2 linked regions of the Oreochromis niloticus genome follow. The protein of the gene in region 1 binds, or shares a complex with, the protein of each later gene. Links are inferred from orthologs where the notes say so. Each region holds a gene or a part of one and is shown in the gene's direction. Other genes may lie near its edges.

The links. The genes of interacting proteins can lie anywhere in the genome.
Region 2: the proteins of qtrt2 (region 1) and qtrt1 are in contact, whole or in part, in a crystal structure (PDB 7OVS), measured with the Mus musculus proteins. The link is inferred for Oreochromis niloticus from reciprocal best matches to the Homo sapiens genes QTRT2 and QTRT1. Residues at the interface, in NP_001343258.1 of Mus musculus: Arg39, Thr40, Gly41, Ser42, Ala43, Pro44, His45, Leu46, Thr47, His48, Gln49, Thr50, Asn53, Glu70, His71, Glu73, Val74, Glu77, Tyr78, Phe85, Ile86, Gly87, Phe119, Gln342, Glu343, Phe345, Tyr355, Asn359, His360, Ala363; in NP_068688.2 of Mus musculus: Thr50, Thr53, Met54, Lys55, Gly56, Ile57, Thr58, Thr59, Glu60, Gln61, Ser64, Arg80, Pro81, Leu85, Lys88, Ala89, Phe95, Met96, Asn97, Ala307, Lys308, Phe310, Pro320, Thr324, His325, Ala328, Phe329, Ala332, Leu333, His335.

The regions. Positions count from the first base shown.
Region 1 is NC_031974.2:18,640,315-18,648,220, reverse strand, and holds the start of qtrt2 (queuine tRNA-ribosyltransferase accessory subunit 2), read left to right. Parts: upstream 1-4,903; 5' UTR 4,904-5,141; coding exon 5,142-5,359; intron 5,360-5,452; coding exon 5,453-5,508; intron 5,509-7,118; coding exon 7,119-7,195; intron 7,196-7,299; coding exon 7,300-7,509; intron 7,510-7,906. Other genes in the region: ccdc191 (coiled-coil domain-containing protein 191), read right to left, coding at 2,946-3,098, 3,211-3,346, 3,470-3,508, 4,188-4,253. UniProt on the Homo sapiens protein: Non-catalytic subunit of the queuine tRNA-ribosyltransferase (TGT) that catalyzes the base-exchange of a guanine (G) residue with queuine (Q) at position 34 (anticodon wobble position) in tRNAs with GU(N) anticodons (tRNA-Asp, -Asn, -His and -Tyr), resulting in the hypermodified nucleoside queuosine (7-(((4,5-cis-dihydroxy-2-cyclopenten-1-yl)amino)methyl)-7-deazaguanosine).
Region 2 is NC_031969.2:22,907,229-22,914,209, reverse strand, and holds the start of qtrt1 (queuine tRNA-ribosyltransferase catalytic subunit 1), read left to right. Parts: upstream 1-3,962; 5' UTR 3,963-4,047; coding exon 4,048-4,326; intron 4,327-4,445; coding exon 4,446-4,514; intron 4,515-4,626; coding exon 4,627-4,765; intron 4,766-4,878; coding exon 4,879-5,073; intron 5,074-6,622; coding exon 6,623-6,761; intron 6,762-6,981. Other genes in the region: dnm2a (dynamin-2), read right to left, coding at 3,377-3,537.

The DNA.
Region 1 (7,906 bases):
TACTTGTAAAAGACTGTGCTTCACATTATTGATGACCATTTTTCAACATTTCGAGCTTTAATATTGATTTCCTTCCACAGGGAGTGCAGAATTATTAGGCAAATGAGTATTTTGTCCACATCATCCTCTTCATGCATGTTGTCTTACTCCAAGCTGTATAGGCTCGAAAGCCTACTACCAATTAAGCATATTAGGTGATGTGCATCTCTGTAATGAGAAGGGGTGTGGTCTAATGACATCAACACCCTATATCAGGTGTGCATAATTATTAGGCAACTTCCTTTCCTTTGGCAAAATGGGTCAAAAGAAGGACTTGACAGCCTCAGAAAAGTCAAAAATAGTGAGATATCTTGCAGAGGGATGCAGCAGTCTTAAAATTGCAAAGCTTCTGAAGCGTGATCATCGAACAATCAAGCGTTTCATTCAAAATAGTCAACACTGGGGTGGCTGTGGCTCAGGTGGTAGAGCAGATCAGCTACTGATTGGAAGGTTGGTGGTTCGATTCCTGGCTCCTCCAGTCTGCATGCCAAATATCCTTGGGCAAGATACTAACCCCAAATTGCCTTCCGATGTGTTCATCTGTGTGTGAATGCTTATTAGTTGCACTTGAGCTTAGAAGTGCTTGTGTGAGTGGGTGTGTCTGGGTGAATGAGGCATGTTGTATAGAGCGCTTTGAGTACTCCGGGAGAGTAGAAAAGCGCTATATAAGAATCAGTCCATTTACCATTCATTTAACACCACCACTGAACAAGACACACAAGCTGAAACGTCAAGACTGGGCCAAGAAATATCTCAAGACTGATTTTTCTAAGGTTTTATGGACCGATGAAATGAGAGTGAGTCGTGATGGGCCAGATGGATGGGCCCGTGGCTGGATTGGTAAAGGGCAGAGAGCTCCAGTCCGACTCAGACGCCAGCAAGGTGGAGGTGGAGTACTGGTTTGGGCTGGTATCATCAAAGATGAGCTTGTGGGGCCTTTTCGGGTTGAGGATGGAGTCGAGCTCAACTCCCAGTCCTACTGCCAGTTTCTGGAAGATACCTTCTTCAAGCAGTGGTACAGGAAGAAGTCTGCATCCTTCAAGAAAAACATGATTTTCATGCAGGACAATGCTCCATCACACGCGTCCAAGTACTCCACAGCGTGGCTGGCAAGAAAGGGTATAAAAGAAGAAAAACTAATGACATGGCCTCCTTGTTCACCTGATCTGAACCCCATTGAGAACCTGTGGTCCATCATCAAATGTGAGATTTACAAGGAGGGAAAACAGTACACCTCTCTGAACAGTGTCTGGGAGGCTGTGGTTGCTGCTGCACGCAATGTTGATGGTGAACAGATCAAAACACTGACAGAATCCATGGATGGCAGGCTTTTGAGTGTCCTTGCAAAGAAAGGTGGCTATATTGGTCGCTGATTTGTTTTTGTTTTGTTTTTGAATGTCAGAAATGTATATTTGTGAATGTGGAGATGTTATATTGGTTTCACTGGTAAAAATAAATAATTGAAATGGGTATATATTTGCTTTTTGTTAAGTTGCCTAATAATTATGCACAGTAATAGTCACCTGCACACACAGATATCCCCCTAAAATAGCTAAAACTAAAAACAAACTAAAAACTACTTCCAAAAACATTCAGCTTTGATATTAATGAGTTTTTTGGGTTCATTGAGAACATGGTTGTTGTTCAATAATAAAATTATTCCTCAAAAATACAACTTGCCTAATAATTCTGCACTCCCTGTATCTTGGAAACCAGTGCTTTTAATTCCTTGCACAATACTTGTAAGATTAATGGTGTGATGGCCAAGTCAGGCAACATTTTGTACTGTAATGCAGACTGAAATAGTACTGTGCAAAAGTCTTCAGCCACCTTTATATTTTCTTTATATTTTGCAGGAAATGTGAATTAATTTATTATAAAATGTGCAAACATACATGGAAATGCAGTGTAAAAGGCAAAAACAGTTTGTACAATTCTAATGAACTGAATGCTTGAAAGTCGATATTTGGTACGAACACCTTGATTCGTCAACACAGCCTGAACTCTGTTAGGCAGTTTTCTTCTAATTTCTTAAAGTAGTGTTCAGGAATAGCTCTCCAGGTTTCTTAAAAGACAGTCAAAGCTCTTCTTTAGATGCTGGCTACCTTTTCTTCTGTTCTCTGTGAAGATGATCTCACGCTGCCTCAATAATGTTGAGATCCATGCTCTGGGGAGGCCAATCCATGACTGACAATGTTCCATTGTGTGTTTTTCTATCCAGGTAGGATTTCACTGCATTGGCTGTGTGTTTGAGATCATAATAAAAAATTATGCTGCCAGTCAGATGCATTACAGCTGGCGTTGCAATGGTGGATCAAAATTTGATCCTATTTTTCTGAGGTCATAATTCCATCAATTTTTACAAGACCCCTAACACCACTGGTGAAATACAGCCCCAAATCACGACAGAGCATAAAACATGTTTAACACATAAATGTTGCACCTCCTCAATATATTTTGATGATTTGAAACAAAATTTTCAAACTTGGAGTCATCACTCCATCAAACCTGTTGCCACTGATTTTCAGTCCAGTTCTAGTGTACTTTGATATACCTTTATATAGAAAAACATTGAGACCTGGAGAACTATTGGTGAAGAAACTACAAGAAAGTATGGTTCTTAATAATAAAAATAAATGAGCGGTGGCCTGAGACCTTTGCACGGTACTGTATACTGATTGTTTTGAATACTCTTATAAAGCCTAGCAGTCAGAGGCCATTTGAAGCAATATAAAACCCACACTGAATTTTGAATGAGCCTTCCATAATCATGAGTAAATCTTCTAGAGGTCACTGTTTCTTTAAAGGTGTTCTGTACCACCTCGTCCATCAGGCCCACAGGTCTAATGGAGAAGGTCTTAATAAATAATGAGTTTTGGGTTATCTCATCAGGTAATATTTTATACCATCAAAGTTGTTGTAGTTTAAAGCAGCAGGCACAGCACTAGCTGATGCAGCTGTGCCTGTCCTCTCAGCAGAGCACATCAGGTCATCTTCATCCTCCAACTCCAACTCCAGCCGCAGCTTATTACTCAGCCAGTCACCTAAAAGGGCCTGAGCTGCAACAAACAACAGGCCATATATCATCATCCCTCTTGCTGTACTCTATGTGGTTATATAGATAGCATTTCTACACAGACAGGTCTATTAATTTTTTTTAAAGGCACCTACCTTCGCTGTAAGCCTCGTCATGATCTCTCAGCTGTTCAGTGCTTTGCAATGGTACAACTAGGCTGCTGATTCCTGAATGAGGTTTTTTGTGGGAGAAGACTTCCGACACAGCAAACTCTGAGGCCTTCTCCACTCGCTAAGGACAGGGAAAGGACACACACATGAAAAGCTGAAGTTACACAATTCCCAAACCCCCAAAGACATTCAACTCAATAATAAATAAAAAACATATATATAACTGAGCACACACATTTCTTACCTTCTTCCATTGATCAATATCACCTTTCTTTACATGAATCTGAAAGAAAGATTAGTGTAAGCTAATATTCTCTGTAAGAAACACCAAAGAGCTCTCACACACAAAAAAATGCTGGCCTCATGGTCACCTTTGAGTGCTTAAAAATGCCTAGACAGGCTCAGAGACACCTTGAGTTGCGGTGGCAGTCTGCAAATTGGAGGCTGAGCCAAGGGCCTAAAGTCTGCGGATTATTTCACAGAAAAGCTAAGCCACTGCTTCAAATCAGCAGATTAGTTCAAAATCATTTCTCACACGTCCAAAAGTCTGTGCCATTGCTAGCTGCCTGCAAGCATGTGAGTATCAGAGATAGGGCCGGGTGACATTTCTGAAAGGTCCCCTGACATGAGCCACGAGTTTATACACGGTAATAACACAGATGTGCCTTTTCTTCTTCCTTCAAGGCGCATTTAGCCAAATTATTTCCCTCTCTCAGGGATATTACTGGGGAAAGGTTTGGAAGGTGAAAATAGACTAAAAATACCTTTTTTCCCATTTAGATAAGAGAAAGGGTTGAAATGAGCTCATCGGATTCATTTTCTGGAACAGTGAAGCCACAGTTTCATTCCCCTACCTTTTTTTTTTTTTTGGAAAATGAAGTCCAACCAATCGTGACAGATGCAGCATAGCGTTCAGTTTAGCACAGTCTATAAATTTACACGAATCCAAAGACTAGACTTACCTTGTTTGCCGAGCCAACTCTTCTCCACCTAAACAGGTCAGGATTGTGACCTGGAAATGCCATCATCACCTGTTACAGCACTGCACGTTAATATGATGTAATCCCAGCTATCACATTGGTGTCTTTTCTTTACTAAAATCGTGCGCGAAGCGCAACAGTCAACATTTTTCAGTTTCTATCGTCAAAATATGCTCAAACGTTATTAGAAAAAGTGCTCGAAAACCTAAAAGCGGTGCAGATAACTCTCGTCGAGTTACTGTTATGGTGGATTCTGGGTAATGGAGTAAATTGGCTTTCTTTTTTGGCTAACTGCTCCACAAATTAAGATTTTCGGGACTACGTTTCCCACAAGACTGTAGCTGGGGGTTCAGCGTCTTGGGTAACCATAGCAATTTTGTTAGGCTCCTTCAGTGAGAACTGAAATTCACTATTTAAAAAAAAGATAACAAACATGTATTAATAAAGTAGTTAAAGTAGTTAAATACTTTGCTTTTAATTAAAGTCTTTCAATAATTTAATGTAAAATATTTATTTATTAGAATGTTTAATTCAATTATTAAAATATAATTATAATTTAAAGAGCTTTTCCTACATGGAGTGCCATCTATAACGCCACAATTGTATGTTTTGAGAAGAAAAAAAAGGTTCTTGAGATAACCCGAACTGTTTTTTCTGCGGCGCCTTCGCCGCTGATGACGACATATTTCTGCGACTTGTAGTTCCTGTCACCCCATGAGGTTTTGTTGGTGAGCTATTTGATTTTCAGCGTTTCTCACGTAAACAATCATCCCTGTGAGTGTGTAGGTTTTATCCAAGTGTCGGACTTAGAGCGGTAAATATTCCAAATACGTGTGAGTGGGAAGGCTAGCTAGCTACGTGGCTAAGTCAAAACCAGTAACACTTGTACTAGTTGTTGGAGAGAGTCCTTTTAGCGCTTCGACTGGAGTTTTTGCTATGGCTGGGAGCAGGATGCAACTGGAGCTGTCCCGTGTGGTTCAGGGAAGAAGTCGGCTGGGTGTCCTGAAGGGACTGGGCAGGACGGGGCAGCATTCACTGGAGATCCCGGGGTGTCTGCTGTACACACACTTTGGCACCGTTCCTCACCTCACTCAGGACACGCTGCACACGCTGATCAGCCTCCCCTCTGTCACTCAGATCACTTTGTCCCACATGTAAGCTGTCTCATTATGGAAATGCCATAGCAAGCACAGTGATCTCCTTTTATTTTTCAAATCTAACCCACATCTCAACCATTCTCCTTCTAGAGCTGAGCATCAGGAGGTGCTGGAGGAGTTTAAGGATGGATTCAGAAAATTCGCAGGTACAAATTTACATTTTTCAGAATTCCCTCTTTCTCTCTTTCCTTTGAGCATGTTTATCTTACAGAGAGTAATGAGAGCAGAAGAAGAAGAGGACGACAGGAGTTCAAGCAAGACAGCGTTGATTACGCATAAATTACGATGACACCCAGAGCTTATCCAATGTATTCATATGTATTCAGTATTGATTAATAGGTAATCTATCATCATTTCTTTTCTTTCTTTTTTTTTTTACCTAAATGGAGATTATGAAGTGTTGCAGAGGGGTTGACTGATTATCAGCCGATCTGATTATTGGAGCTGATATTCAGACTTTTTCCATTTATCTCTATTATTATTGTTGTTTCTTAGTAGATTTATGGCACGATAAATTAATTTAGCACATCTGACCAGTTACACATTTAACAGCACAGAAGACTACTGTGCCTGTGGGTGTAGAGTAGTGGATTTGTGATTGGAGCAGCTCCAGGGTGGCATATTACACGTTAACAAAAGAAAAAAAATCCATATAGAGAAGAGAGGTCATGATTAGCTTGAGGTCATGAACAGATAGCCAGACATTCTCCTTCAGGATGTTTTGGTAGGCGGCAGAATTCCTGGTTCTGTTTACCACAGCAAGTCTTCCAGGTCCTGAGGCAGCAAAGCAGCCCCGTCGCTGCACTCTTGAGTTAATTTTGGTCGGCCGGCCACTTCTGGGAAGGTTCACCACTGTTCCATGTTTTCAGCATTTGTGGATAATGTCTCGCACTGTGGTTTGCTGGAGTCCAACAGCTTTAGAAATGGCTTGATAACCTTTTCCAGACTGATAGATTGCAATAAAAAAAATTTTTTTATTTGTTCCTGAGTTTTCTTGGATCATGGCATGATTTTGGGTATTTTCTTTTGCTTTACTCCACTTTCTCATACAGGTCCTATTTAAGTGATTTCTCAATTGATAATGGGTGTGGCTAGAAAACTTGGGGGGGTAACGCTTCCCCCTTCATAATAAACACATTCATTTAGACATGTGTGGATAAACGCAGTCTGAGCTCCTCTAGAAGTACAGTAATGAAAACAAACGTGCAGTATTTTGGTGAATGTGCCATGCTTGCCAACCATATAAACCTTTAAAAAAATGGCAACTGCATTTTTATTTTAATACATTGAAAATTATTTAGTCTCCCGTTTAGGGAAGCTAAAATGCCAGAGTGGTGGGATGGGTAGGTGTAAATGAAGAAGCTGTGGATTTTAAAGCAAAAATGTGTTGCTGTGGACATGGCCTGGGCTTCACCCAGCCTCAGGCAGCCACTTTAAGAAAATTAGACATGTAACCACGGTATCATCGCTTGGAATAAACTATCATTGATTACTACTGCCTCTGCCTCTGAAGCCCCTGAAGGGAGAAGCAGTGATTGAATAGCCTTTGCTGCTATTAGACAGTTTTGTTTTCTCACCTTCTGATCCTCTGCAGCGGCTGGGTTTGCTGATAAGGACACGGCTCATTCCTCTCTCAGTCGTCACATTAACATGCAGAGTCGAAGCGCCTCGCTCTGTCACCTGGCTTCACGCTCGACCCTCTTAACCCCTTTGCTGCTGTGTTCTCTGTGAGTGATGCAGTTACGTCTGGTTTCAGGTCTTCATGATACTGTCCTCTACTGCTCCCTTCACGACCCTGCCACGCCCAGCCCGACGGGTTACACCACCACCAAGGTGACATTGCTCATGCTGTGGTAAACTAAAGGCCCTGGTGACTTTACTGCTGGGTGTGATCACAGGTGAAATGGGTTTTTCATATATTTTTGCTTTGTTATTAGACGGTGTCAGTGTGGGGCAGCGGTGGGCGGATAGAACTAACGGTGGCCAAGTTCATGGCTCTTCAGAAGACCGTACAGCCAGACTGGTACCAGAGCATGTACGACGGAGAGACCTGGCAGAACAGCGCCTCTCGCAAACGGGTCAGAAAGTCGGTGGATCGGACTCTCGCTCATTTGGACGAGTGTTTGCTGGTGCACCAAAAATCAAAGGTATACACTACACACACACTTTAGCAGCCGCTGAGCACGCTTGCATTTGCGAGTGAGTCATGCATCGCACAGACACACAAGACAAAGATTGACGTTAGTGCAGTTGTGACAGGGGCTGCTGTGCATCTGTACTACAGCTGGAAGCTCAGTGAGATTAGGATGAATTCATTATCAGTGGGTATCTACACTATCAGCAGGTGTGTGATGGTGCAGCATCAAGCATGACTAATAGAATAGTCTGCTTTGCTTTCTTTTAATTGCAGTCAAAGAGTGGCTCATTCCATGAGAGGGTGGACTGAGTAAAAAGGATTAATAGGAAGAGGTGCGGGGGAACTGTCATGACTCGTGCATATGACATCTTTGCTCTTTTACGCTTCAGTGGATAATAGATTTATTT
Region 2 (6,981 bases), on another chromosome or scaffold:
GAAGGAAGTCCTTGAAGATAGAGCTAAAATAGCTTGTTTCAGACAGCGGCTGAATTGAAGAGCTGCACAAAAGGAGATAACAACAAAGCCACTCTATTCCAGTGAGCATAATAGGTCCCCTTTAAACTTAACTGATCAAACACTTCAAAAAAATGTCTGCTTTTGCAGTGTAGTTGCTACAGATCTGATAATAACCTCCACCCAGGCCAGCTTGCACTACAAGATATGACGTCTTTGCTCCCAACTGACACAATGAAATTACAACACACCAAAGCCAAAACAGAGACATGGGTGTAATCAGCATCTCTGAACTTAAAATACTTGCACTGGTCCATAAATATTTCAGTAGAGTAACACACACAGAAAGAAAATTTGCTTATTATTCAAGATAGTTCTTAACTACACAGATTACTTTTTTCTTCGTAATATCTTAGTATATCTTCTGGTAAGGACCAGTAAGTTAACTCAAAGCAATACAGACTATTATAAATATTTATTTAGTCGATCAAGTCAGTGTTCAGTGTTGCAGTAAAACCTGAGGTCACTCATTAAGTTGGCTGGGTGGATAATGTAATAAGATTAGATGCGTACCAACAGACTGAAACACAAACTAATTTATTAAACTAACTTCTGCCCAGCAAGAATGTGGATCAACCACGCAAAACATATTTGTCTTCCACACTAACGCTGTTGAAAGCAGAGGCCAAAAGAATAGCAAGTTAGGTCACATGATCCCAAAACCTCCCCAACTTTTCCCCTCTCCAATGAAACCAGGAAATCTGAAGCAGAAACCAAGCCGCATCCGACATGCTTTTTGTGGCAGTCAAACATTTGCCAAATTAACAGTGAGGCGGTGAGGTCACTTGGCACCTGTGGATCATGACATCAGCATGAAGTCCAGGTGAGAGAGAGAAAGCGAGCAGCTTTTACTGTCTGTGGCAGAATCATCACTCCATTGTCCCAGTTGTTTTCCCAGCAATAAGTGACACTGTTTCTATTGTTGCTGGTACGTCAAAAGGTAAAAAAAAAAAAAAAGAAAACAGAGGGATTATTTTCATCCCATAGGACACAGAGATGAAGCCAGCCTTTTACACACAACATGCACCTCACCAAAGAAAAGACCTCAGTCACTGGGGAAATTACAGAGCAGCCATTACCGAGTGTAACAGAAGCTCAGTACTCATGGTGAAAAGAAAAGAGAACAACAACAAAAAATGGCGTAACCACAGAGAATTGCAAATGAAGTTTTCCACAACATCATAACACGCACCATTTTCATCTGCTTTGAATAAAAAAAAAAATAAAAAAATTGAGCAGAACACATGGTACAAAGTTTAGGTATCGGTTCAAACAAACCTTTTAGTCAACAATGACTCATGAGTTTGCCTATCACTTTAGCAGTGTACAGCAACTCCTAAAGTGTGCCTAGCCTGACTTATTTTACTACTCTAAATGATCTGCACAGCAGAAGGAAATTAAATTTTTCCCCAAATCAATCACTGGAGACCACTGATCTGTCTGAATCTCAGGACACCTATACGTAGCTTTGCCAACATACAGGTTTAGCAAGGGTTTTACAAGTGAAGTTAAAAAACAATTCAACATGTTCCTCCATTTGTTTCCAGTAGCCATGCCTCACAGGTGCCAAAAACAACCCAGCGTTAGCATCCCAATTGTGGTGTGTGGCTCACAGTGGCACTAATCCTGTACATAGCACTAATTGGATAATCATTAGTCCTCACATGGTTGTGTTTTTAGGTGTCATTTTAAAAATCAAGAAACAGCTGTTACATGTCAAAATGCCCAATGGAGGGAACAAATTCCAAGATCCATGCTTCAAGGTTGAAGTAAGACTGTTTCACCTTGTCAGCCCTCATTAAATTCACCCGCACAGCATCAACATGCAAACAGAGTAAATGCTGTTCTTTTCTATATTAAACACACCTTATGAAAGGTACATGAAAGTGAACAGCCTACAATGCTAAAATAATTTGTCAGCACGTGGATTTATGTTTGCCCTGTAAACACGCATAAAGTGGAAAACCAGCACGATAGCAAATCAAGGTCACCATGAAATGTCTCAAGTTAATTGCTGCCGATTTGTGTCGAGTGCTCTCCCAGGACAAAGTCCCACTCATCCGAATTACTGCACACTGAGTGGAAGTCTAATCTGCATGCATGTTCTTGCCCGAGAGTAGTTACAACATGCTCTTGTTTCCGTCTTTATAACCAAAAGCCTATGTGCATGTCATCTTGATAGCCAATGTGCCTTCTCCAGTCTGCCGACCAGCCTGCATATGTGTGTGGGTTGGGCTACACACTGATTGTCTCTCAAAGGAGGTGGAATCCTGTTAAACAAGCTACTACAGAGCAAACTTGTTATGTTTCTTTTTACTTCAGGGTGATCTCACTCATTGCTGTTGCAGGAGACAACAACAAGACCAGCCTGATGACAATGATAGAGCCAGTATGGTAAGGAGGACGGTAGATTATAAGCAATGCATCTCAAAAAACAGTGATGTCAAGTCTGTTTCCGTAATTTCTAAACGCTGGCCAAAAACAGAAACAAAAGAGGAAGATGGTAAAGGAAGTTATGTCTGCTACAGAAACATGTTGAGGAAATGTCAGTACTGTAAAGAGAGACAGTCTGCTTTGAGGTCAAAGTTTTGTGTCAAAATGCAATAAGCAGCTGTAAAAATACAAGTAGGTGACTTTCTGTCTACACTGCGATACCCCCTTACCCCATACACCTTGCCAGTTACGACCCAATAAAACTCCCTCCCTTGTAAAACAAACAGTCATCCCTCCAGCTTTTAAAATTGTTGGTAATGTAAATTCTGTAGGACTCTCAGGGTGTGGCCTGTAGTTATCAATATGAGAACAAAAGGGGGAAAAGCCCATTGAGCTAGATTGTAGGAAAGATTACGTGCACTAAGGTCTATTGAAAAAACGGCAACCCAGAACAAGCCTTTAATCATATTAGAAAAATACTAGGCAGGACAAACGAACTTATCAGCAAATGTAAGACAAGAGTTGGTGATCTAATCGAGTTGAAAAAAAAAAAATTGTAAGAAGTAAAGAAAAGAGAGAAAAAGCCCAAGTAAGCTTCTTTTTAAGCTCGTAACACAAATATCACACTACATAAATACACAAGAACACTGTATCTTAAATTGCTGAAGCTACAGCGCAAGTGCGTAAATCAATATTGACGTTACGTACTGGGAAAGTGACGTTAGCTTAGCTTTATGCGACTGGCATTTCCAAAAGTACCGTACCTCCCAGACCAAAAAAAAGGGCTGTTTGACAACGTACGACCAAGCATGGCCTGTTAGAAGGGCGTAACACTTCACTAGCTCATTTAACTATTATCACTTACCTGCCAACGAAATTCTCCAAGACCGAGCTTTTTCCAGCGCTCTGTCCACCGACCACCGCGATTTGAGGAAGGTCTAAATTACAACTCTGGCCAATGGAGCTGAATGCGTCTTGAAGCTTGTTGATGAGGGGAATCAGGTCTTCCATGCCCCGGTTCCCCATGGCTTCGTGAGCTTGAAGAGCCCCTTCAATTCAACACAGACCGGAGGCTAATGCTAGCCGCGCTAGCGAGCTCAGTAACGTTAGCTTAGCAGCAAGGTGCTCTCGGGTTACTCTGAAGTGCTAAAACCCCGCCTCTTCAGCTCGGGCTTTTATTCACTTTTTGAATACTTGTGCGCTTCCCAGTAATGCAGTTCACACCAATATCATATCATATAATAACAAAACCCCTCAACTAAATACCCAGACAGTCGAAACGGACGGAAAACTCGCAAGCAAAACTTCCTCTACACAAACACCATCCGGTCACAGAAGATGACATCCTATCGGTGCCGGTTACTATAGCCCCGCCTCTTTTGCACAAATAAAAGCGGTTTGTTGGCTAATGTTGCTGCCGCTTCACCAAAATTCGTTTTGATTGGACGTCTTAAGGCTCAAATCACATAATTAATTTTTAATTGGTCGTCACGATTGTCAGTTGGAGGTCCGTTCATGTCACGTGATCAGTAAAACATGGCTGCCCCCATAGAGTGTGGAGCTAATACAGAAACTATAGAGAACAACATGTCCCTAAAGAAAGCTTTGTCTCCTCTCTCTCTGCGAATTGTTGCTGAATGCCCAGTAACTAAAGCGAGAGCCTGTGATTTAATACTGCCTCATAGCACCGTCAGTACCCCGGTTTTCATGCCCGTCGGGACTCAGGGGACCCTGAAGGGAATCACTGTGGATCAGCTGGAAGATCTGGGATGTCAGATTTGCCTTGGAAACACATACCACCTTGGAATGAGACCGGTATGCAGGTTTGCTATAACGCAAATTTAATTTTTATCTCGTGTTTTACTGGGCATAAACCATTTGTTGACGATTTCATGTCAGTTTTCTTGTGTAAATGTCTTTTCTGCTGCCTAAAGGGTCCTGATTTGATTGAGAAAGCCAATGGTTTGCATGGGTTCATGAACTGGAAGAGAAATCTTTTAACTGTGAGTTTAACTTCACATTTTATTTGTCATACGTGGGTGACAAATAAAAGTACAACACGTGGCTGGAAATCTTTGTCTTAAAAACCACGCGTTTCTTTTTCTTTGCTCACAGGACAGTGGGGGGTTTCAGATGGTGTCTCTCGTCGAGCTCTCCGAAGTTACGGAGGAAGGAGTCAAGTTCAGGTCCCCCTACGACTGCAAAGAAATCTTACTAAGTCCTGAGAAGTCTATCAGCATACAGAACAGTCTGGGTCAGCAAGGAGTAAAATAACTGACTCAGCGTTAACCATCAGATACTCTGAGCTTTTGTCAGTATTTCTGTGGCTGACGGACAGCACCTTCATGTTTCTTTGTGTTCTTCCAGGGTCAGACATCATGATGCAGCTGGATGACGTGGTCAGCAGTACTGTGACAGGACCACGGGTAGAAGAGGCCATGCATAGATCCGTTCGCTGGCTGGACCGCTGCATAGCAGCCAATAAAAATCGAGACAAACAAAACCTCTTTGCCATCATTCAGGGAGGATTGAATGCAGAGCTGCGCAAGGCCTGTCTAGATGGTAAAAAACAAACAGAGGCTGATGCTTACACTGAGATTCCTTTAATGATAAATATATTTTGGCTGATGTGCTTTACAAACACACATTGATATAAAGGCTGAAATTTGACTGTTAAGTCCTTTAAGATCCCCCGTTTGGGATCAGATTGATCTAAAATTGGCAGGCATGCTGGAAGAAAAGCACACAGGGAAATGTTCTTGCTTTTTGATGGTACTATCTTATATATTCAGACAGTATGTTAGTTAGGTTAAAGTGGGGGAATTATTAGTTTTGTTTATCACAAACTATCAGTGAAATGTGAAGATGCTGATGCATCCTCACCACTGTCTGCTCAGCTGATGTGCCCTCTGCTACATGTGCTGCAGAGGATATGTGCTGAGTAACAGCTTCTCGAATAAAAAAAAAAAAAGCCATATTAGACATACGTGGGGTGAGCTAAAATTTGGCACTTTTTGTGGCACTATTCACTGTATTTTTCCAGCATTTTAGAGCTGAAATAACTTAAATGCAGAATATAGTCACATTAAATTCTCCGGGCTGAAAAAACACACTTGGGCTGTGTTTTAAAAAAATCAATTTTACACCCATTCAAATGTCAGAAGTCAAAATCAAATCTCATCTTTTTTCAGCTTGTTTTTTTGTTTTTTTATAACCTGCTTTTGAGCATCAATATCAGAGAGACATAACCGTTTCAACACCACAGTGTCCCCAGTTTACAAGTTAATCTTGGTAACCCTGGGTTTTTTATGTGTTTTCTAATAATTCACTGGAGAAAACATCAAAAAGCACATTTTTGTAAACTGCACAGGGTTATATTATTACATGAGATGGGTGTCTGGTCAAAACAAGTTACAGTAAATACATTTACCTACATTTGATACCATTTTATAGCCGTGATTTATTCTTTGTCAAATTTTCTAACGTCTTAAAAAATCTGTGTATCCACCAATATTTACTTTAAGAGCCTAAAAACTGGGAAAACATTTTTTTTGGAATAGCTTCATAACACATACCAAGTTTTTGTTGTTTTTTTTTTTTTTTTTACAAGGAAATTTGTTGCTTCTAAGGAGCTCAGGTGGGAGGCACTTACTGGATTTTCTTTCTTTTTTTTCCATGGACTTACATGACTGTATGCTGATGACCACTAGATCTATTATGTGCTGATACTGGTCAAAATTAACAGGCAATTAACATGAGTGGGTCTCCAGTAACTAATCTTGCTTTTTCTTTTTCTTCATGTACCGATATTGAAAATCAAGCTGAATAATTTCATCATTTTTCCATCTTATTTATGGAGGATGAAAACATGCTAAAATGCCTTGATCCCTTTTTCCTTTTACACTTATTTCAGTAAGTGGAAAAGTGGCAGCATTAACTAGAAAGTTTACATGGTTCAGTCTATTGAGGAAGCATATGTGAATCAAAGATATCAGGGCGTGGTGAGGAACTAATCCGAGTTATTTAAAGGGCCATGCAGTTTGGAAAGGACATCAGAATTCAAGATAAAGGATCAGACTTTCACTTAAGATATTGTTTTGTCTTCCTGTAGAAATGACTAAGCGTGACGTTCCTGGTTTTGCCATTGGTGGACTGAGTGGAGGAGAAGAGAAGGATGACTTCTGGCGGATGGTGACACTAAGCACTGATCACCTGCCTCGGGAAAAGCCCCGCTATCTCATGGGTGTAGGGTATGTTTACTGGTTTCACTGAAATCCATCATGGTAACCTGGTTGTTTACCTCCTGAGCCTGGTTCTGCTGGAGGTTTCTTCCTGTTAAAAGGGAGTTTTTCCTTCCCACTGTCTCCAAAGTGCTTACTCATAGGGGGTCATATGATTGTTGGGTTTTTCTCTGTATGTAATATTGTAGGGTCTACCTTACAATATAAAGCGCCTTGAGGCAACAGTTGT